Linked DNA regions of Danio rerio. The protein of the gene in region 1 interacts with the protein of each later gene in a biochemical or structural test. Links are inferred from orthologs where the notes say so. Each region holds a gene or a part of one and is shown on either strand. Other genes may lie near its edges. The genes, in order: shq1 and dkc1.

The links.
Region 2: the proteins of shq1 (region 1) and dkc1 are reported together in a solved structure, tested with the Homo sapiens proteins (2 studies listed by BioGRID, with this or other methods). The link is inferred for Danio rerio from reciprocal best matches to the Homo sapiens genes SHQ1 and DKC1.

Annotation. Positions count from the first base shown.
Region 1 is NC_133181.1:46,676,716-46,688,631, forward strand, and holds the start of shq1 (protein SHQ1 homolog), read right to left. Parts: upstream 7,289-11,916; 5' UTR 7,196-7,288; intron 5,330-7,195; 5' UTR 5,311-5,329; coding exon 5,168-5,310; intron 4,745-5,167; coding exon 4,680-4,744; intron 1-4,679. Other genes in the region: gxylt2 (glucoside xylosyltransferase 2 precursor), read left to right, coding at 9,833-10,101. UniProt on the Homo sapiens protein: Required for the quantitative accumulation of H/ACA ribonucleoproteins (RNPs), including telomerase, probably through the stabilization of DKC1, from the time of its synthesis until its association with NOP10, NHP2, and NAF1 at the nascent H/ACA RNA.
Region 2 is NC_133196.1:47,452,866-47,464,210, forward strand, and holds part of dkc1 (H/ACA ribonucleoprotein complex subunit DKC1), read left to right. Parts: intron 1-1,315; exon of another isoform or gene 1,316-1,392; intron 1,393-1,465; coding exon 1,466-1,650; intron 1,651-1,757; coding exon 1,758-1,822; intron 1,823-3,615; coding exon 3,616-3,742; intron 3,743-5,266; exon of another isoform or gene 5,267-5,343; intron 5,344-5,416; coding exon 5,417-5,547; intron 5,548-5,566; exon of another isoform or gene 5,567-5,703; intron 5,704-5,809; coding exon 5,810-5,953; intron 5,954-6,003; exon of another isoform or gene 6,004-6,080; intron 6,081-6,154; coding exon 6,155-6,275; intron 6,276-6,317; exon of another isoform or gene 6,318-6,393; intron 6,394-6,461; coding exon 6,462-6,580; intron 6,581-8,842; exon of another isoform or gene 8,843-9,216; coding exon 9,217-9,320; exon of another isoform or gene 9,321-10,924; intron 10,925-11,108; exon of another isoform or gene 11,109-11,345.

The DNA.
Region 1 (11,916 bases):
TTTTCATCTACTCTGAGGTGATTTTGAGTTTTAATTTGGCCACAACTTTCTGCAAATGGAATGTTTTTTTAGTGACCACTCTTAATTTGACACTAGGGATGCAACGATTATCTGATTTCACTATTAACCGCACTTTAATTCGTCATGGTTAATTAATCATAAAGGCTTCTCAACACCGCACGTCAGCATGGAACAAAACTGCTGCAACTAAACAAAGCTTATACAGCGAGGCTAATATGTACGTACATTGGATTAACAATGGCTGATGCGATTAACTACGGGCCGCTCACATATTGTATCGTTTGCATGCACAAGTTTGTTATTACAAATAGAAGCACATATTGGGGGCGATGCGTTCACACTTCCCAAGTGCACCTATCTGAAAGAATGTTGCGAACGCACAGTGAGTCACGTGACAAGAACTGACCAATTATCTTCTTGCTTTTTATAGAATATACACATTTCTTCCCCAAACAGAGAATACAAAATGAAAATACTAAAAAAGTTTGTAATATAGTTGATCAAAAGTCCTTTTCAGACAGAGATTCAGCAGCTTTTGAGTGTGTTTGTTGTCTTTAAAAGGGAAATACTTAAGCTAATATGATGCTTAGATTTACATTAGACAAATGCAATTTTTTAAATTTATTCTTATTTAAATGTATTATTTGTATTCATTGTTCTGTCATTTATTTTCAGTGTAAAATGTTTCCACTTATTTTAAGTCCAAAGAGAAATAGACTATTGTTTGTTTTTATTAATACTTTGTGCTGTATTATTCAGTTACTGAGCAGCAATAAATTACACTTTAAAGTATAAGGAGTTATCATCTGATTTTCTAAACTAGTAGTGTTTTAAAATTAATGAATGCATAACAATCATGATAACTATGAATATTCCTCCGACTATAATCGCAAAACCAAAATCTACAATCGTTGCATCCCTATTTGACAAATATTTTGGGAAAATGTTTTGGAATTTTTCGAAATCTTAACAATACACTGGGAAAATGTACTACCGTTTCATTATGCTCGAGGGTGTTTTTGCCCCATTGACTTACATTATAACAACCTTTATTGATTGCAAAGCCATGACACCAAAAAATCACGCATTATTGATTATTGGTTGTTTTCCTTATTGGAATGAGGTAAAATTTGCGCTTTGTACTGTTGATCATTAGTTACAGAGCAAAAAAAAGTTTAGTTACTGGCTTTTATATGAAGTATAGTGTGTGTATGTGTGTTAATAAAAAATAGCAAAGGCGACATAATGACTCAGTGGTTAGCACTGTCGCTTCAAGAAGGTCACTGATTCGAGTTCCAGCTGGCATTTCTGTGGCGTTTGCATGTTGTCCTCGAGTTTGCGTGGGTTTCCACCACAGTCTAAAGACATGTGCTATAAATGAATTAAATCAACTAAATTGGCCGTAGTGTACGAGTGTGTGTGAATGAGTGTATACGGGTGTTTCCTAGTACTGGGCTGCGGCTGGAAGGGCATCCACTGTATAAAACGTATACTGGAATAGTTGGCAGTTCATTCTGCTGTGGTGACCTCTGAAATTGAAACTGAAATGAATGATTGAAAAATAATCAGCTCAGCTCTCATTACATAGTAAGCATAGCAAGTGTATTAATGCAGTCACACTGTAATTTGCTGTTTTGCTCCATAGAACTCCATATAAAAGCCAGAACCTTTTCTAAAGGGGTCATGGTGCCAGCTGATGATCAACAGAAAAAATTAAACATTTGATCTCTTCTCAACAGGGAAAACCACCAACAGTCAAGAATGTATGATCATTTGGTGTCATGGCTTTGCAATAAAAAAGTGGTTATAATAGAAGTCAATGGGGCAAAAACAGCCACGAACATAACGACAGGTACTAGTCATTTTGAACAATACACAAGGGATAATAAAATAATAATAAACGACCCTTGTTTTGAAAAGGCGTTATTGAAATGAATGACCAAATTTTATCAAAGAAATTACCATTGGATCCTAAGATTTTTATTCCGGGTATATAGGCTGTCAGCCCTCTCCTATAAAGCAAAGAAGTCAGATTCATAGCAATGTGTATTTTACAGGCTAAATGTATTTTTGCTCTTAATTGGAAAAATATAAATGAACCTAGAATTGGAAAGTGGATTAATGAAATGGTGCCACATATGTCAATGGAAAGGATCACATGTATTGTCAAAAGAAACAAAATGTGTTTGAAGATATTTGGAGACCTTTTATTAACCTTCTAAAGTACAATGTAAATGTTGGCAGTCTACTACAACAAGAACAAGCTCTGAGGGAGTAGGAGAGTTTCATGGTCCAAACTCGAGAAATACTCTTTACCTGATTTAAACATGATTTTTTTGGGAATGGGTTGATGAGAGAGAGAGAATAGGGTGAGAAATGTTTGCTGTGTCTACATGATTGATATTCTGTAACTGTGTAATCTGTTGTGATATGCAAACTGAAAAAGTAATAAATATATCTTGTACAAAAAATACCCTTGTTTTACAAGTTATCTTTCAATGGTCTTAAAAATTGTTCCCATTATTTGCCAAAAGTTAGTGCTTTTCTCTAATTTTCACTTGTTAACACCTTTTAGAGGAAGATAAGACAGGAAATTATGAAAAGGAATATGATTCAATACATGTCTTTGATGTTTTTTTACTAGCGCAAAGTAGGAATTAATGGAAATTGCTAAATTATGGGGACGAAAAAAGCTGAGTTTCTATTGCACACATTACTGTGCTTGATACAACCTTGCAATAAAAAAAAACTCAAATTTTAGACCCTACTGGGAGATTAAAACAGTGTAATGTTAAAATGACAGTAATTGCGTTGACTGTAGTCCTTCCAGATTTGTGAAAGATTTATAATTACTCGTTACTCAGTGTAAACACTGAAAGCAATTAGACGTTTTTTATGATAGACTACTGCTAAATTATTCACTGGCTGTCGATCAAAGAGGACAAGCTGAAAAGAGGCCAAGGAGATGTCAGAAACAGGATCCCATGGCCATTATTTAGCAACTGGAAATGCTAATGCTATTAGGAGAGCAGGCTGACAGCTTGAATTTGATGTAGAAACTGTAAAATAATAACAAATGAGCTGACTGGCTGCAATCTTTCAAACCAAAAAGAAATGTAGAAATGCTACTGTTGTTGCATAGCATCATTTATTTTTAATGAGTCTTTGGTCAAGAATGCAGCTCAAATACACAGTTAAAATATAAAGACAAAAGCTTTCTGAACATTTGCCTCCACAATTTTAGAGGCTTGAGCTTAAACTGTCAACCTAAGATTTTAATCAAAAGTAATAGAAAGGAATTTCTCACACACAATATTTTTAAAGGGATAAAGCACCCAAAAATGAAAATGTACTCATCATTTACCCACCCTCAAAAGGTTTTATGTGTTTTTCTTTTTCTGTTGAACACGAAAGAAAAATTCTGGAAACTAAAAAAAACAAATACCATGCAAGTCAATAGTTAAATGTTTTTTGACATTTTTCAAAATAACTTCTTTTAAATACAACAGAAAAAAAACTCAGAACAGGTTAGAGATAAGTGAAAGTCGAGTAAATGATCACAGAGTTTTCAGTTTTGGGGGAACTATCCATTTAAGACCATTTTAATTTACACACTTGTGCTGTCAGACTGTGCAGTATTGCTCTATTTCAGCGTGGCTGTAATTGGAATCACAGTCATGCTAATACTGAACATTTCTTTGTGCAATATTGATTATATATTACACTAATCACCAAGCTATTAATTAATTCCACAAGAACTGTAAGAAAAGGTAAGCTTTACCTTTTATCGTCTGGTAGGGTTTACTTTTTTAAGAACATCCATTTTATTTCGTCCCACATTGTTGTTGTTGTTTTTTTAGATATATACAGCTTACTCAAAAGTTTACATAACCCGTTCGAAAACAACTGTATATATTTTTTTAGAAAGTGAATAATTTTACCAAAATGTGCATTGTTTTTAAATTTAGCGCTGTCCTGAGTAACATATTGTACATGAAACAAAATTACCTATAGCTCACTACACAAGAATTTTGCAGAAACAAAATGTTAATAACCCCTAGCAAAACTGTACATATCCTTGCTTTTTAATACGGTGTGTGGTTTCCTGATGATCTATGAGTGCTTTTTTTGCTTTGTGATGTTGTTCACAAGTGTCTTGTTTGTTCTGAACAGTTAAACCAACTGCATCTTCAGCACATTCTTCAGTTTTCCAGTGAACTGGATGTAAACTTCTTTTAAGTAAAATATCCTACTCAGAACGGTACTAAACAGAAATAACATCCATTTGTTCAATCCATTTTGTATCATCTCAGATTTTATTAAAACTTTTCACATTTTAACAAATACTTCAAGTGGTGTGTAAACTTTTGAGCACAACTTTATAACTACAATGAGAAAAACTGGTTCAATTAATAATAACTGCTTCTAAAATAGCTTAGTAATAGGTTGAGTAAAGCTAGAGAAGAACATTTGAAGAAACGGATTTCTACAACAATTTTGCTGCTTCCGCTGAAGCTTGCTTATGTGTTTTTTTTTTTTTTTTGGTCAAGAAACTGTCAAGTGTCTGTGCTCAAAGGTATTGAAGAGCAAATAAAAACAGTTTTCAGTTGCTTTCCGAGAGACCCGCAGGAAAAACAGTAACAAAAAGTGATTGTTACCTTTATCGATATCGAATGAAGCTTTTTCCCGTCCATCTTCAACTATTCTCCCAGGCAGAGTCAACCTTCAGAGCAAGTATTAACAATAACAATATATTAACATTTGCACTACAACATGTTTATGCATTTATTTGCAATTTGCATTCTAAAACTAAAAGTCAAATTCATAAATGTCCCTGTTTTACATGAACAAACATAAAACCAAGCCGCTTCTAAAAACAAATGATCCTATGCAATGATCCTTCTCTCTAGTAGACTCTAGTGAAAGGCTTTGATTCACTTTAAATGGTAACCAGTGTATTTACGACCAATCTCAGAATGTTCCAAATTGAGTAGTTTCTGCAATAATTTTCAAAGGAGTTTATTATTCATTTTAATTGTGGATAAGCCGTTTAAATGCTTTTTTAGGGCTCTGTCCTAGCAAGTAAAAATCTTTGTAAATGCTTTTTCCTGTAACAAAATGTCAATCAACGCATTTGCAGAGTCACCTGAGAAAGTAGGGCTTGGCATAGAACTTAAATTCCTCCTCTTGGATGTAGATGTCGAAATCTGATGTTCTGGTGTAGGGTACACGAATAACTACAATGAGGAAATCTGCATCTTGACTGAGTTCAAATGCCGGCGTTATCATGATTATACACTGTGAAGTACTGCAACAACAAGACAGAAAAAAACAAACAATTAGTGATTATTATTCAAAAATGGACAAAAGTAATCCTAAAGAATTTTTTTTAATTACATTTTCAAATTATTTCCTATGCCAAGTTATAATATAATATAACATAATTAGTGCTGTGCAAAAATTAATTGCAACTAATCGCATCCAAAATAATAGTTTGATATAGTTTGAGTGTATGTACTGTGTATATTTATTATTTTTATGTAAATACACAGGCATGTATATATTTGAGAAAATGCTTATTTATATTTAGATATAAAAAATATTTGTATATGATACAAATTATATATAAACATTTAAGTATCTGCAACAAAATAGATTTGTATAGTTTTGTTTCTATGCATGTATCAAAACAAACTTTTATTTTGGATGCGATTAATTAGGATTCATTTTTGCACAACACTAAACATTATATAATATAATGCTACTACACAATAAACTCAATTAAAATTAAATCGAAAAAGAATATTTAAAAAACTAATAATAATATAATATAATAAAATAATTTTATTCATTTTCTTTTCGGCTTAGTCCCTTTATTAATGCGGGGTCGCCACAGCAGAATGAATCACCAATTTATCCAGCACGTTTTATGCAGCGGATGCCCTTCCAGCTGCAACCCATCACTGGAAAACATATATAAAGACTCATTCACACACATACACAATGGACAATTTACTCTATTCACCTATACCACATGTCTTTGGACTTGTGGGGGAAATCGGAGCACCCAGAGGAAACCCACATGGAACACAGGGAGAACATGCAAATTGCAAACTCAACAAAACTGACTGGGCTAAGACTCGAACCAGCGACCTTCTTGCTGTAAGGCGATTGTGCTAGCCACTGCACCACCACGTAGCCAAAATAAAATCAATATTTCACAAAATTTTAAAGAATCAATTAATATCTTCTTTTATGTGTTAGTATTGTATCTCTAAATAGGAAACTACAACAATAATCAAACATCTGACATTACATCAGTTACATCATTACATCATCATTGGCTTTTATATTCACACATTCAGACTTTCTCGTTAATAATATAATTTCATAAAAGTTTTCTTTGCTAATTCTAAATATTGAATCATATTAGCAGCTAATGACTATCAAAATACAACAATGTTCACAGTCAACTGAATAGTGTTGATGTTGTTTTGAAGTCATACTAGCATGTCATTTCAGACCGAATATTCAAAGTACCATGGTAAACAAAATAGGGAGGATTTCACAAGTTGTCACTGAACAAATGTGCGAATATAAAACCAACATAACTCAATCAAATAATCAACTCAAACTCAAAAAATCAACTAGCCATGGTCCATCTGACAAAAAGTCAACATGTGAGGAGTAAAAGAAAAGAAAAGGGCAGCTTACAACTCCACCTTGTGGTTACTCCATTAGTTCTCAATAAGAAATATTGTAAACAACCCCTTTGCCAACTAGTATTTTAGACACAGTTAGCTTTACATTAACATTATCATATTCAATACAACTCTATTAAACAGTCAATAAGCATTTTTAAAAGGACAAAATACCAAAATAAAGGAAAACCACGCAACAAGAAGATAAAAGTCGCTATATTGATTTAATACGTGCTCACAGCCAAAACCACAGCCAAATCAGTCAATTAAATGATGAAAGATGATAAATCCCAATACAGACAAGAAGATGCCAAAACCTATGTCTACCTTTTTGTTTATTCAATGTTTATGCCAACGTAAAACAGGCAAGACAAGACACACTAAATGCAGTATTTAAGTTATTACGTTATTCATTAATATAATGCGATATAAAAGACACAAATTACAACAACATAAAACAAAACGTTTCATACCTTCACGCGTTTTCTGTGAACAGTTAAATGCGCTAAACAACATCAGTAACACATATGCAGCACATGGATTGTCTGCTTCCTGCTTTCTCTGATGGCCATGTTTTACCGTAATGCCACATATAAAGGCGGCATAAAATAATACGCGATATTTTTCAAAAAAATACAACACCGTGAAGGTTTGAGGATTTTGATGATTATAGAGACTGTAAATCAAATCCCCCAAAAACTCAGAATCATAAAAGTGGAATATTAAAAAGATCTAAAGATTTTAGCCTTAAGGGAATGTTCACCCCAAAATGAAAATTCAATTACTATTTACTCACCTGCATGTGGTTCTAAACTTTTATAAATGTATTTGGATGATGTGATGGTAGCCCCCGGACAATTACACCAGTGCGGTCACCACACACCAACTATAAGAGGAGTAAAGAGACAGTGATAGAGCCAACTCAGTAGATGGAGATGATTGGGAGGCCATGTTGGGTAAGGGCCAGTGGAGAGAATCTGGATGTAGGTTACACCCCTACTCTTTAAAAGAAGTGCTATGGGATTTTTAATGATCACAGAGAGTCAGGACCTTGGTTTTACGTCTCATCCGAAAGACGACGCTCATTGACAGTAAACTGTCCCCTTCACAACTAAAAAAAAAGCAGGATGAGGGAAGTAAATCATAACAGAATATTCATTTATTATGAACTATCCCTTTAAAGGGTCAAAAATACATTTAGGGCTACAGGAAAACTATATAAACATTAATACATTTTTTAAAATAACCCCATATTGGTTAAAAAAACTCAGGTCATCCAATATGTTAGTTATTTTACTTTATTTGTCCCTGTATGCTGCAAAATAAATTTTACAAGCAGGCTACAGTAAATAAACAAAAAGTTGAATATAGATGTAAATAAAACTAAAAAGACAATTATACACTAAAAAATGCCATTTTAAATTAATTTCTGATTTGCAAGGTTTTATAAGACACAATAAAAGGCATATTTTTGTTAAAGATTACTTATCATACTTGCGACTTGTAACATTAGTCAGTTTGTTAGAAGGGATATTTTTTTACTTATTATTATTATTAATTCATTAATTAATGGTGAATTTTTTTTCGTCTGTATGCAGTTATTCTCTGATATTATGGTTAAGTGTACTTCATTTGGTATTTATTTTATTTATTTATTATATTGTCGCTGGTTCGAACCCAGGCTGGGTCAGTTGGTATTTTCTGCGTGGAGTTTACATGTTCTGTGTAAAACATATGCTGGATGGGTTGGCAGTTCATTCCGCTGTGGTGACCCCAGATTAATAAAGGGACTAAGCCAAACAGAAAATGAATGAATGAATGAATGAATTTCAAACTAACTCCACATGGATGACCTAAGTTTTTTAACTATCCCTTTAAATATATTGCAATGCAGTTTAAAATCTAATTTAAAAAAGCATAAAAAACGGCACTACAGTAAATAAGCAGAAATAGGAGGAATAAGATGAATATAGATATAAACAAAACAAACAAAAAAAGACAATTATACATTAAGAAATGCAATTTAAAAAAAAAATTCTGGTTTTGCAAGGTTTGATGAGATACAGTAAATGCATATTATAATTAAAGTTTACACCGCATACTAACAACTTGTAACATTAGTCATTTTGTTGGAAGGAAGTTTTGTTTTTACTTAGGCTATTATTATTAATTAATTCATTCCTTTTTTTCCATCTGTATGCAGTTATTCTCTGATATTATTGTTAAGTGTTAATGTACTTCATTTGGTATTTATGCATTTTTATATTTATTTTTCTTGTTTTGTTAATTGGGTTAATGAATGAGGGGTTAGGGGATGTGATTAACAGTGGACAATAACTTACTGTTTACCTCACAATAATTAATTTTGTCACACAAAAGACTAATAAAAAGATTAAAAATAAAATAAAGATAACATCACAATGAATAACATTATAGTCATAATATAAAAAAAAATATCCTCCTGACAGCAAAATAATATACTTAATAACTGTAACAAAGCAGTTTTAATAAGATATACCATTTGTTTGGCTCAGTGGTTAGCACTGTTGCCTCACAGCAAGAAGGTCGCTGGTTTGAGTCTCGGCTGGGTCATTTGGCACTTCTGTGTGGAGTTTGCATGTTCTCCCCACATTGGTTTCTTTTGGGTGCTCCAATTTCCCCCCATGCAATATGGGTGAACTGAATAAACTGAATTGACTGTAGTGTATGAGTGTGAATGTTAGTGTATGGGTGTTTCTCAGTATTGGGTTGCAGCTGGAAGGGCATCCATTGCGTAAAACATATGCTGGAATAGTTGGAGGTTCATTCCGCTGTGGTGACCCCTGATGAATAAAGGAACTAAGCCAAAAGAAAATGAATGAATGGATATACCATTTATTTTGTACTTTCATTGCGCTGGAGTGCATTACAAGTATTACGGTAAGGAGAGTAAGGTCCGCCTTCAGAGATTCATTTACGTGAGAGAGATCGGCGCTAAGCTGAGCAGCATCGTCTTCATCATCACACACAGTACAAATGAAGAAGTATGGCTGCACACTACAAATATGTCCCCTTGTTTTAACCAGAGCCATGGTTAAAACACCCCACCGCGGACGGAGCACTTTTTCACCATGAGGATTCACTGCAAGGTTGTGGCCATCGCGGTGTGCTTCGGAGTTTTTCTACTTTTGTACTTTTTCGGGGGGAACGCTGCGGACGAGCCGCCGCTGAAAGAAGTTGCGAAAGAAAAACATTTTCCATCATTCGGTAATTTCGAGGACATTGTCCTTCTGAAAGGTGCGAAACAAACCAACGAGGAGCCACAGAAACCACCGAAACTAATCCGCAAAGAGCCCAAGTTGAGCAGCAGGAGAGCAGAGAATGTCATCGCGAAGACTCGGTAAGACATTCTTCAAGTGCAAAAATCATGATCAACAATATGTATGATCCAACAACAGAATGTGTGCAAGTGTGTTTTATTATGTCTGATATCAGTTTTTCATAATACATCACATAATGTAAAACAATGCATTTTTCTTCCTTCTCGAGTTAACATCCTTTCAACTGCTTTAAAATCAGTGCATGTGTTTGATCCACAAGGGAATTTATGACTTGGATTTGCATAAAATTTTCTGTGATTTGTACATAACAACACGTTTTATTAACAATTAATAAACCACTGATCTTTTTCTGGATGTCAACACAGCCAATCCAACCAGACATACTTGTCAAAAAGCCTGCTGTGACAAAGGACATTTTGGCAAGAATGTCTTGAGCTGATTGTGCAATCTTTAGATTTCTTAATACAGCAAGACAGATAATCGTGCATGGCATCATTTCTGCACTATCCACACCAGATTGTGATGCACTAACGTCTTAAATGTTGCCAGAGAGCAGTGTGCTTTGTGCATGCTACAAAGCCCAGTCCAAGAGCCCCCTGTGAGCATCTCATCCATGATTATCTCAATTGTATTTTCATTATGGCTTTATTAAAAAGGTCACCTTGAATGCAGTTGCCTCGTTCCCAAAGGGTCTCAATAGAGGACAAAATCAATGATTGGTTGTGAGTAAAAGCAAACAGTCCCTAGAGACCGGAAGATGGAGTGGTTTATTTATTAAGACCGTCCGCCCTTCTTGAAACATAATTAAAAAGAGTTTCTCCCACATTTAGCCTATAGGTGAACAGTATTTTAATGTTAAAATATAAGAACCCCAATGTTCAGTTCAATCCAAGTTGTGCTTTTCACAATAATTATCATACCAATGTTGCTTAAAAGGTGCATGTTAATACATTACAATCCATTCAGACAGATTTCAGACGTTGTGTATAGGGTGGACCGTATATATACATATACACACATGGTAACCTGCAGTTATACAATAATATAGATTAACCAAGGCTGACCGACATGACAAAAATCTCATATCATGATATAAGTCATCTCATATCCTGCCTGATACCAAAATATACATATATTCATCAGTTATTAGTTTAAATATATTAACCACATGGAAAGAACTATTTTTTCTTACAATGTAAAGTATATACAATACTCATATTTGTACTCATTCATATGTGTTTTTTTTTTACATTATTTATAACTAGGGCTGCACGATTTTGAAAAATGACATTGCAATGTTTTGTTTTTCTGCGATAAATATTGTGATTAGGTATGGGCCGCTTTAAGATTTTAACGGTATGATAACCTTCGATAAAATATCAGGGTTTTATGGTATTGTGAATATATTCGTTTTAATAGTCTGGGTAAAAACAAAAACTTTTTTCCGCTTTAAACACAATAGCTGTGTCCGAAATCACATACTTCCATTCTACATAGTATGCTAAAAATAGTATGCGAGCGGAGTAGAATGTCTGAATTCATAAAATTTGAAAATGCGAGAAGTACCTGGATGGCATGCTACATTCGACGCCATCACACTACATTCATACTATACAGAACATACTGTTTTATTGGTCAAGTTAGTAGTATGTTTAAATTCAAATGCATTAACTACTGAGTAGTAGGTGATTTTGGACACAGCCAATATATTTTATTTTGAGAAACATTAAAATATTTTGGAGCAGTAAACATGTCAGGCTAAATAATTCATTAGTTTCAAAAATACTGATTTCTTTACAATTTAAAATGGCATCTTTGGACACTTTTTCAGCTGGAGATACCATTGTCCAAAAAACTAAACAAAAAAAGCGTAA
Region 2 (11,345 bases), on another chromosome or scaffold:
GTTAAACGAATGTTTTAGCTTAGCATAGGACATTGAATCAGATGAATCTGCTGTTGAACTCTAGCTTAGAGTGCGCCGTCTACTGGTAAACGCTAATCTAGAGCACCTTCTGTTGAACTCCAAGCTCAGAATCGACTAAATGCTGGCTTAGAGCATGCTGTCTCTGGTAAACGCTAGCTTAGAGTGTGCAATCTGCTAGTAAACGCTGGCCCAAAGCATGCTGTTTGCTGGTCGACTCTGGCCTAGAGCATGCCGTCTGCTGGTTAACGTAAGCCTAGAGTGCTGTCTGCCTGTTAATTGCTAGCCTAGAGCGCTGTATGCCGTTGAACGCTAGCCTAGAGCACCATCTGCTTGTTAAACGCTAGCCTAGAGTGCTGCCTGCCTGTTAAACGCTAGCCTAGAGCAGTGCCTGCTGTTAAGCTCTAGCCTAGAGCGCCATCTGCCTGTTAAACGCTAGCCTAGAGCGCCATCCGCCTGTTAAATGTTAGCCTAGAGCGCAGTCCGCCAGTTAAACGCTAGCCTAGAGCGCCGTCTGCCTGTTAAACGCTAGCCTAGAGCGCCATCCGCCTGTTAAATGTTAGCCTAGAGCACCCTCCGCCTGTTAAATGCTACCCTACAGTGCGTCTGCCTGTTAATCTCTAGCCTAGAGTGTGCCGTCCACTGTTAAATACTAGCCTAGAGCTATTTGTTAAACAATTGGCTCAATTGACTAAACTCTAGATACAGCGTCTGCTGTCCGACGCTAGCCTAGAGCGCCGTCTGCTGTCCGACGCAAGCCTAGAGCGCCGTCTGCTGTCCGACGCTAGCCTAGAGCGCCGTCTGCTGTCCGACGCTAGCCTAGAGCGCCGTCTGCTGTCCGACGCTAGCCTAGAGCGCCGTCTGCTGTCCGACGCTAGCCTAGAGCGCCGTCTGCTGTCCGACGCTAGCCTAGAGCGCCGTCTGCTGTCCGACGCTAGCCAAGAGCGCCGTCTGCTGTCCGACGCTAGCCAAGAGCGCCGTCTGCTGTCCGACGCTAGCCTAGAGCGCTGTCCGACGCCAGCCTAGAAAGTTGTCAGCCGTTAAACAATAGTCCAGAGTGCCGTCTGCCATTGAACGCTACCCTTGAGCTCCAATTACTGCTAGCCTAGAGCGCCATGTTAAACTCTACCCTGCTGTTTAACTTTACCCTAGAGCCTCATCTGTTAAATGCCAGGCTAAGAATCGTCACAAATGGTGATTTTAATCATAAAACTCTCGAATTTGATGCAGAATAAAGTTCTTGAATACAGTTTCATCACAGCTCTTCAACTTTGGTATATCGAGGCCTTTGCATGAAGCCACATGATGTGATGTAGATTGCATTAGCACTCTGTGCAAAGATGACTCGCTATCTATCACCCAAGACTGATGGCTTCTCAGAAAACACAAGCGTGTTGTAGATTTGCAAAACAGCTCTGACAAGTATTTCTATCATCCATCCTCCCAGGTCTGGTTTCATTAATCTGGACAAACCCGCAAACCCATCCTCCCATGAAGTCGTGGCCTGGATCAAGAGAATCCTTCGTGTGGAAAAAACGGGTCACAGTGGCACTCTGGACCCCAAAGTCACGGGCTGCCTGATCGTGTGTGTGGAGCGAGCCACACGACTGGTCAAATCCCAGCAGAGCGCAGGTACAGTATGATCACCGCAGCATACCCAGCTTCTTTACAGTAAATACCAGCACAGTTACATTAAAACTAGTGGCCTCTCCTTACTACTCTTGTGCCGTTACTTTCAGGCAAAGAGTATGTGGGCATAGTACGGCTGCACAATGCACTAGAGAACGAACACCAGCTAGCGAGGGTAAGTAGGAGTGTGTTCTGCTTTAAACACTTGATATTTTAGTTGAGCAGTCGAGCAGCTGTATACTCTGGTCTGGCTTTTTTATCTGCTAATTTTTATAACTTTGACACATGGGCTACATTCAGATTGTTTATGTAATTTATAGGGATGCACCGATATGGATTATTTGGCCGATATCTATAACCGATAACCTTTCAGATTTGGAGGCCTATATATATATATATATATATATATATATATATATATATATATATATATAAAGGCCGATAATTATAAATATTTCAAAATAATATATATTTATACAGTGAAAAACTGATTTTATTCAAAAAAAAAATCCTAATAAAAGACTGAACAGCTCCTATGAGCTAAGTAGTCTAAACTCAAAGCAAAAAAATAATTTCTAAATTTCAAGGTCATATAGACCTATATTCTCACATAAATTAGCATGCCAAAAATATATTCCTTTAATTTGCATAGCAACTTGACATGCAACTTGAATGTTGCATAAAAATAATAGGTTAAATGACATAATGTGATTTAATTAACCAACAACTTAAACATATTTTAAATAAAATGAAAATGAAAGCTAAAACCAGCTCAAATATTCTTGAATAAAACGTGTTGCAGTAATGTACAAATACGTAATGTCGAAAAATGCGTTTTGAGAGGCATTTTGATAGTTCTGAGCCACCGTACAAGCGAAAACCTAAATACTGATAGTATGATTTACTTCAAAAAATGCGGCTTAGATTTATCCTTTTTGGCATTTTAGATTCTTTTGAATGCATTTTAATGCTGTTGGTCAATCAGACGATGCTTTTATGTTCGTTCTTGCTATCAATTGCGGGAAAAATGAGCGATAAAGTTTGATTATGCTGTTAATATCAAGCATTGTGTGATGCGCGCACGCGAAGCGCAGTCAGAGTTTGATCCAACACCTGAGCGTCGAGCACAGATGATTTCATGACAAACAATTACATAATTTATCGGCTTAAAGATATCGGCCTAATTTAGACATCGGATCAGTAACAATCTTAAAAATAGCATTTATCGGCCGATAACTATATGGCCACCGATATATCGTGCATCCCTAGTAATTTATTTTGATCATATGCTACCCATATCTATTTTTTTACTCCATTATCTTCACTGCCCGATTGAGATAATAAGTTTCTCATATCAGACAAAAGTACTACATTACATTATTCATGTAAAATATAGATATTTTACCACAGTTTTTTTTTTCAATAGTTTCACTGCTCGCCTGATTTTACTGAAATCTGCATTTAAACAGCCCTTCATCTTGTTTTACACAAACGAATGCTTGAATCTGTTTACCTGATTATATTTTAAGTACATTATCTATGCTGTTAACCTTATGAAATTAAAATTGTGACAAATCTTGAAGTTTATTGGTGGCTGAGTAACACTTGCCATACATAAAGCCATGCAATGAACCCAAGTTATTAAACTCCAAGTGCTCATTTAAATAAAGTAATTAGTGCCTCAAGGGAAAAGCTGTGTGTTATTAGTGTGCATTAGTTGCTGTATGTGGCGTGATGAACCTGTTTATCCATTCTCTGAGTGTCTCCGTCCCTCTCTCCTGCTGGCCTCCGGCTCTCCGCTGCAGTGTTTTACTGTAGCGTAGGCTGCTGGAGGCTCATGCGGGGGTTTAGGGTTCGGTTTCACAAAAGAAGAACTGACATTTCTGATCACATACACATGGACTGTTAACCGTCAGAGGCTGCAGGAAATCTGAGACTGATTTTTGGTTGTTTTGTGCTTCTCCTCAGGCTCTGGAGTGTTTAACAGGAGCTCTGTTCCAGCGGCCGCCGCTCATCGCTGCTGTGAAGCGCCAACTGCGAGTGCGCACCATCTACGAGAGCAAGCTTATTGAATATGATCCTGAGAGAAGATTAGGTAAACTATTTTTTTAATGTCTTGTGTATGGACTTTATTTAAAAGGTTAGTTCACCCAGGAATAGACATTGTATTTAATTACTGAGCTTTATAGCTTCAAATGTGTAAGAACTTTATTCTTCTTTGGTGCTTAAAAGTATTTAGAATAAATCTAAGGCTCCACACACATATTTTTATGAACCTTTTCCCTCACTTTTGTTATTAAAAAAAACTCAAATAAAAACTCCATCCACATGAAAACGCAAACTCGCTGTGCATGTTTAGGGCACTGAACCGGCAGGCAGATATAATAACACTTGTGCTGGGTTCACACTAAATAAGAGAGGTGGATTACCATCATGTGGAGTGAAAACTGTGCAGAATGTGCCTCATTTACGTTGTAAACCCAGATGCATTGGCCAATCTGAAAGGAGAAAGCTGCACGCTGACTTCATGACGCCTTTTAGGCATGTATGAAGAGCAGCAGCAATGCACAGGCTTTCACTTTGGCTGCTTTGCAGTGTGCAGTAGATCAGGGGCTATTGCATAGATCAATCTATCAATCTTTTATTTATTTAATTTATTTAATTCTTTTATATATATATATTTTTTTACACTTCATCTGCAGATAAATAAATAGATAGGTAGATAGATATATACAGATTATATAGAGTGTAGTGTCCCCTTTACTTTTACTGGGGCATTAGGACTCACGAAGACCACAGGTTGAGCTCCCCCTGCTGGCCTCTAACACCACTTCCAACAGCAACCTAAGCTGCGTCCCAAATTGCATACTTATGCACTATTCTACGCCATTTTGTAGTATAATTAGTGTAGGTAGTGTGTTCACACTGAAAACTCTAAAAATCATAAGTGCACTTTAATTACCCGGATGATGCACTCATTCAGCCGGTAAAATGAAGTGTAGACCGATGGACACTTCATGCACTCAACGACCACAGGTTTGCTTGCGTAGCGGAAGGGGCGGAGCTATCGGACGCACATGTTGAATAACTATTTTGGATGGTGAAAGCAAAATTCTCCTAAGAGAGTGATTATAGCGCCTCCTGATGGTGAATTCGGTTATACTCACTGCAGGTATTATTTGATAATTCGGTCGTTTATTTTACTGATTTGGCAAACGTCATCAGGGAAACGGTTTGAATTTCCGCTTAGTAAAAAAAGTGTTCCATTTGGGACAACACTACATGCATATCCTATCCTGTTGAGTGGTTAAGTGTATGAGTGCATAGTGTGCCATTTGGGACGCAGCTCTAGTTTTCTCATGTGGTCTCCCATCCAGGTACTGACCAGGCTCAGCCCTGCTTAGCTTCAGTGAGTAACCGGTCTCGGGCTGCAGGGTGATATTGCTATGGCACGTGACAAGTAATTGGAAAAAATGGTCCTGGAATTATTATTATTTATATTTTATCTGCAGATTTATAGGTTCTGAATGTTGATTATTGCTTAATCGCCCAGCCCTACAGCATTGAAGAGAAACGAAAGTGAAATTTTGGGTGAACTATCCCTTTCAATAATGTTGAAGCCACATGATGTGATGTAGATTGCATTAGCACACTGTGCAGAGATGACCAGTTATCTATCACCCATGACTGATGGCTGCTATCCAGAGTAATGATCATTTCCAGTGTGAGATTGTCTGCATCCATATCTATATATATTCTCACTCGACAGGTATTTTCTGGGTGAGCTGCGAAGCGGGCACATATATCCGAACTCTGTGTGTGCATCTGGGTCTGCTGCTGGGGGTCGGCGGGCAGATGCAGGAGCTGCGACGAGTCCGTTCCGGTGTTTTGGGTGAAAAGGTACGAAGAGAACCTGTAGAGCCAAAGCGTTGAGTTCAGCTCTGGGTTTCTCCCCAGTTCTGCTAATTAATCTTTGGTACAGAAAATGGCTGAGTGGTGATCAACATGAAGGGGTTATACTTTGACCTCCTTTATTAAACCCTTCAGCCGACATGAACAAATGTTAAAGGATTGTACAGGCAGTAATGCAATACCATTTGCTGAATATAAGCAGCCAGAATAGGTCTGACAAGGAAAATCTAGTAATTGATTTCTCTTGCAGGATAACCTGGTGACCATGCATGATGTGTTGGACGCCCAGTGGCAGTTTGACCACAACAAAGACGAGACGTACCTGAGGAGAGTGATCTTCCCTCTGGAGAAACTCCTCATCTCCCACAAGAGGATCGTCATGAAGGACAGCGCTGTACGAAAACCTACACCCTACATTAATATTTAACAATCTTCATGTTGCACGCCACATGATGTGACGTAGATTGCATTAGCACACTGTGCGAAGATGACCAGTTATCTATCACCCATGACTGATGGCTGTAATGCAGCATGAGTTGTTCAATATGCAATGTTTAAGTATATTCGGCTGGCCTAACTAATTGTTTTGCATCAGGTGAACGCTATATGCTATGGCGCTAAGATTATGCTACCTGGCGTCCTTCGGTATGAAGATGGCATCGAGGTCAATCAAGACATTGTGGTTATAACTACTAAAGGAGAAGCCATTTGCACAGGTAAATGTCATCCTTTGAAACTTGTAGCATGCGCCATTCTCAGCCACATGATGTGATGTAGATTGCATTAGCATTGCTGCAAAGATGACCGTTTATCTATCACCCATGACTGATGGCTCTGCAAGACTTTACAGTTGAAGTATTAGGATTTGGATGGGTTTCAATGGTTTTATTTTCCTCCTTCAGCGGTTGCTCTGATGACCACAGCTGTAATATCCACATGTGACCATGGGGTTGTCGCTAAAATCAAGAGAGTCATCATGGAGAGAGACACATATCCACGCAAATGGGGTCTTGGACCAAAGGTAATGAACATTGAGAGAAATTTGACGCCATGATGTAGGCTTGAACTCTGGTTATATCAACTCAAAATTAACCCTGTAATCCAAACTAGTGCAATCAGGCTTTGTTGTAGAACGACGTTGATCACTTTGTTTACTCTGGAGTTCATGAGCATGTGCAGATGAAGGCAGGACAATAGTAGCAAGCAGCCAATCACATGCCTTGAAATTAAGATATTTAGATTTTTTTTAGTTTCTTCTGTGAGTAAATTAACAATTCGCAGCCAAAATGTGTAAGTGGAATTTAAAAATGCTTGTACGCTCATAAAAAGAGCTGCTAAAAGGAAGTCATTTTGGTTTATTAATGCAAATGAAGTTAAATCCAATCTCTCGGCAGTATAAAGTCACAGTTTTATCTAAAACAACAATTGTGTGTTCATGGGTCGGTATAAGATTCTGACAGTATCATAACCTTGGACAAAAATATCACAATATTGTTATTACTGCTCTAAAATATAATCTTTAAAAAAAAAAACAACAACATTTTTTTTCCCCCTTTTAAAAACAATATATATTTAAAAAAAAATTAAATTTAAAATATTCTGTAGCAGTAAACGTGTCAAATAATGAAAATGAATTATTGACTTGTGCTCTTTTCATTAGTTTCTAAAACACCGATTTCTTTACAATTTGAAACGGCATCTTTGAATATCTTTTCTGCTGGAGATACTGTTGTCCTAAAAACTAAAAGTAAATTAAAAAAATATATATTTTGGCTGTTTTAAAAACCTTTTTTTTTCCCAAACCATGGTATCCCTTCAAAACGGTTATCGTCCCATGCCTAGTTAATGGCAGAACCTATTGTATTTTCAGACCCGTAGCCAAGCAGAGGGGTATGTGGTTCAAAAGATCCACCCCCCCACTGACAAAGTCCATAATTTGGCCCCTTAATGAGCTCATTTGTCTCGATTTTGACAGTATGCCATAATAAATTGTGAAAATAATCGATAGAAGTAGGTTTTAAGGGTGCTTTCACACCTCCACTTTTGTTTGGGAACCTGTCTCATTTGCCCAGTTAGTGCTGTTCGTTTGGCATATGTGAAACCAGCAATCATGCTAGGATCTGTGCCAAATCAATCGCTCCGAAATCGTTTGAATGAGGTGGTCTCGGCTCGATTAAAACTTAACTTTGGAGCGGATCCATTGCAGTGAGAAAGCGATACGATCCGAGCGCGGTTATATCACTGTGTTTTATGGATATGTAATAGGCATACGGCGATATGAAGAGAGAATTATAGGGCGGGAAATTTCGCGAGTTTCCAGATGCCCGCAAACGTGTGATAATCTCCTGGTAATCTTGCGTCTTCCTCCCGGTCCTCAAATGGGCTACGTCGTGCATCATTCTCACCCCTCCCCACCCCGTCTCTCCTCACTCTACAGATGGACGCACCTTGTTAAACACCACCAAACCACCACCTCTCCTGACAGCTGACCGAGACTCTGCAAAATTAACCCTGACACTGACCAATGTGAGGAGAGTTTACTCACACGTGACTTGTTTTAGCTCTTTTGGTCCGTTTAGAAACTTTGCTGTGTGAAAGCGAACCGCGCCAAGAATAAAGAGCAACAATGTAACAATAGTAATCTCTATTTCGGAACAACTGAATCGATTCACAGGTGTGAAAGCAGCCTAAGATAGATAAAATTACATTTAAATGGACAAATTCTGACTTGCTGACCTGTTTATTTACCTATAGGGTAGTTTTTGAATTAAAACATGTTTTAACAGATTCCTAATTAGTTTTTTCATGATGAATAATACATTTAGTGTTTCATATTTCTTAATTTTAAAATGTTTAATTTTAAAAATCTAATTATTTTATTTTTCAAATGCACATTTGTAAAACACTTCATGGTTAAATAGTAGTATGGTGAGCACTTTGTAGGAAATATTTTTGTTGCACTAAAGTTTGATTATAATAATCAATCAACAAGCTAATCCAGAAAAGGTTAGTGCTTTAAAGCAGTGTTTGAAATTCATAATTTAATAGAAAATGAGGTGAATAACTGCAAAAAGGTCTTTATTTATTTTGAGAAAAGAACCACCCCTTTTAATAGTCTGCCGTATAGTTCAAATCCTAAGCACAGTGTGGTGTGTGATTAATTTAAATGTTACTGCTGGAAAGTCATTTTATTGGCTCCCTGTGTCTTGTTGTGGGAGTTTTTCTTAAGTCGGATATATCAAGTTAATGCTGAATCATTTTCTGCTTTTAGGACCCTCATAAATCCCTTTTTTTTTTTTTTTTTTTTTTTTTTTTTTTTTTTTTTTTTTTAACAAATTTAGTTTGGCTTCAGATGCCTCCTGCCTATTTTAAGTGAGTACGTAAAAATATGAAAGTTTGAGTCTGGAGATACGAAAGAGACAGCCTATTGAAATACAATAGCTTAAATGTCTTTGTGGTCTCTAAACTAAAGCATATTAGCAGTACAGCATAATATACAATGGCAATCCAAAATTATTTAAATGTTCCTGCTGCCTAAAATCCAGAATTGGTGCGTGTTTAAACAGGCTAGCCAGCTAATCCATCTTCATGGTACACGCCCCAGAGTAAATGTTAATAATGATGTACTATTTAAATGTGGCAACTCCTGCATTTCAGGCCAGCCAGAAGAAAATGATGATCCAAAAGGGACTTCTAGACAAACATGGCAAACCAAACAACAGCACACCTTCAGACTGGAAAGAGGGCTATGTAGACTACAGGTATGCATGTTTCCGTGTTCGCACACATTCCTGCAGACTGTTATCCCTTTTTGTTCTGCTGTGAGCCTAGAGGGAGTCTGTCTGCTAAAGCAAAACCCTGAGCTCAGGCTAATGCTGTCTGCACGATGTGTGCACGATGGACACCTGAGCTCTGTGGACATCTGCATAACTCTTCCTGATCCTGATCTTTCTTTTAATGATCACTTGTGCAGGTTTACACTGACTGCATTAATGCAGGCTAAACGTGTAGCAACACAAAATGCCTTTAATAATCTTAAGAAAGCATTTTGGTGCCTTCACAACTTCTGTCGTCATTATATTTTACACGAAAGCCAAAATGTTTTTATGTAAGATCTATATAGAGGCGATCTCTTATTCGTTATTAATCATGCCTTTTAAACTGTGGGTTGTGATCTTAGCACCCCTAGATATTAGTAAGAGTATTGTTCGTTGTATAGGATATCTATAAGCTAGTGTGCTCAAACAGTAGATGTTTATATCAGGGTCCCCGCGGGGTCTTAAAGTATTAAATCTTAAATTAAAAAAATTGACATTTATGGCTTTAAAAAATCTTAAATTTGTTGTTCTTGGTCTTAAATATTTTTGCACAGGTCATATTTTTGCGATGTCCATGTAACGCTACATCTAATGCTCATTTAAATTCTTGTTGTTGTTGCTTGGTTTTTGGGGTTGTTGTAGTTTTATGACTATTATTACTTTATTTTACTAGTCCAATTGTAATTTTCTGTTTTACAACTGCAAAAAAGTCAACTTGCAATAGCCAATCAGCTTTCTGATATTAAACTCAAATGTAACATCATCGCTGTGTTTGCGGAAGTTCACTTTGAGTGCGCGCGACATGATTTCGGCTGGCAGAGTATGCCGTTATTTCACTGACAAATGTCGCAAGTGCAGTTTTATAAGTCGAGAGCGCTGAATAACGAGAGAGTGAATCTCTGCTCACGCGCCGGTTTCCTTTGTTCATGGACAAAACTGCTTGCGAGCTCTCAAAACACTGGCTGCTCACGTGCAAATGATCTGCTCTCGCTCCGTCGGACTCCTTTCGTGCTTTTCCAGAGAAGCTTCAGCATACTGTAGTAGTAAGAATAGTGAACTGATAAAATGAAATACAGTTTAGTTTTACTACATGTAAGTGTGTTGAATTGTTGAAAAATATACCCCATATTGTAAAAAAAAAAAAACTAAAGCACTGGGTAGTTTGTTTTTAATACAATTTGTTACCATAGCAACCATAGTATTACCACAACAGAGTAATTGAAGTACTTTACAAAACACTGTACAGCAGACACTAGTTCACTTTATTTTAGTGATAAAATGGGATTGATAGTGGGATTTATTTAAAGAGTGAATAGTACAGTATAATACAGCTATAATACCTTATCTAATTTTTACCCATTTTCTATCACAGCTACATTTCTGCTTGCCAGAATGACCAATATTTATTGGCTAGAAATTGCAACAGCCATGGGAAAGGAGGAAAGTTTTTGTAAAACTTTGGAAAAACTCTGAGGGATGAGTTTGTTAAAACAAAAAAAGAGGCCCCCAAACACATCTTCAATGATAATGATTATCATTTTATTTGTCTGATTTTACTTTGTTTTTTTGGAGCGCCCCCTGTCATTTAAAAAAAAATATCTCAATGGTGAACGTGTCAAGTATAAAAGCCTTAATCCGTTTCGTGAGTTGTGCGGTGCCAGGTGAAAGTATAAATCTGCATTAAGATGTTTGTGTTTCTGTAGTTCAATGGTGCATTTAACCTGACTTCACTACTGTTCAATTTAAATAACTTTATTTTACCCCTAATTTTGTGCTTTTACATTTTCTTTCTGGTGTTTTTGATATTTCGATATAGCTCTTAAATTTAATACTTAATGGTCTTAAAAGGTGTTAAATTTGACATTGTTATCTGCAGAGACCCTGTATATCAGCTTTGTCTACTAAATGTGAATTTTCCAAAGCTCAATTTGTCTCCTAAATGGATTAACAATTGACTATTTTATTTAC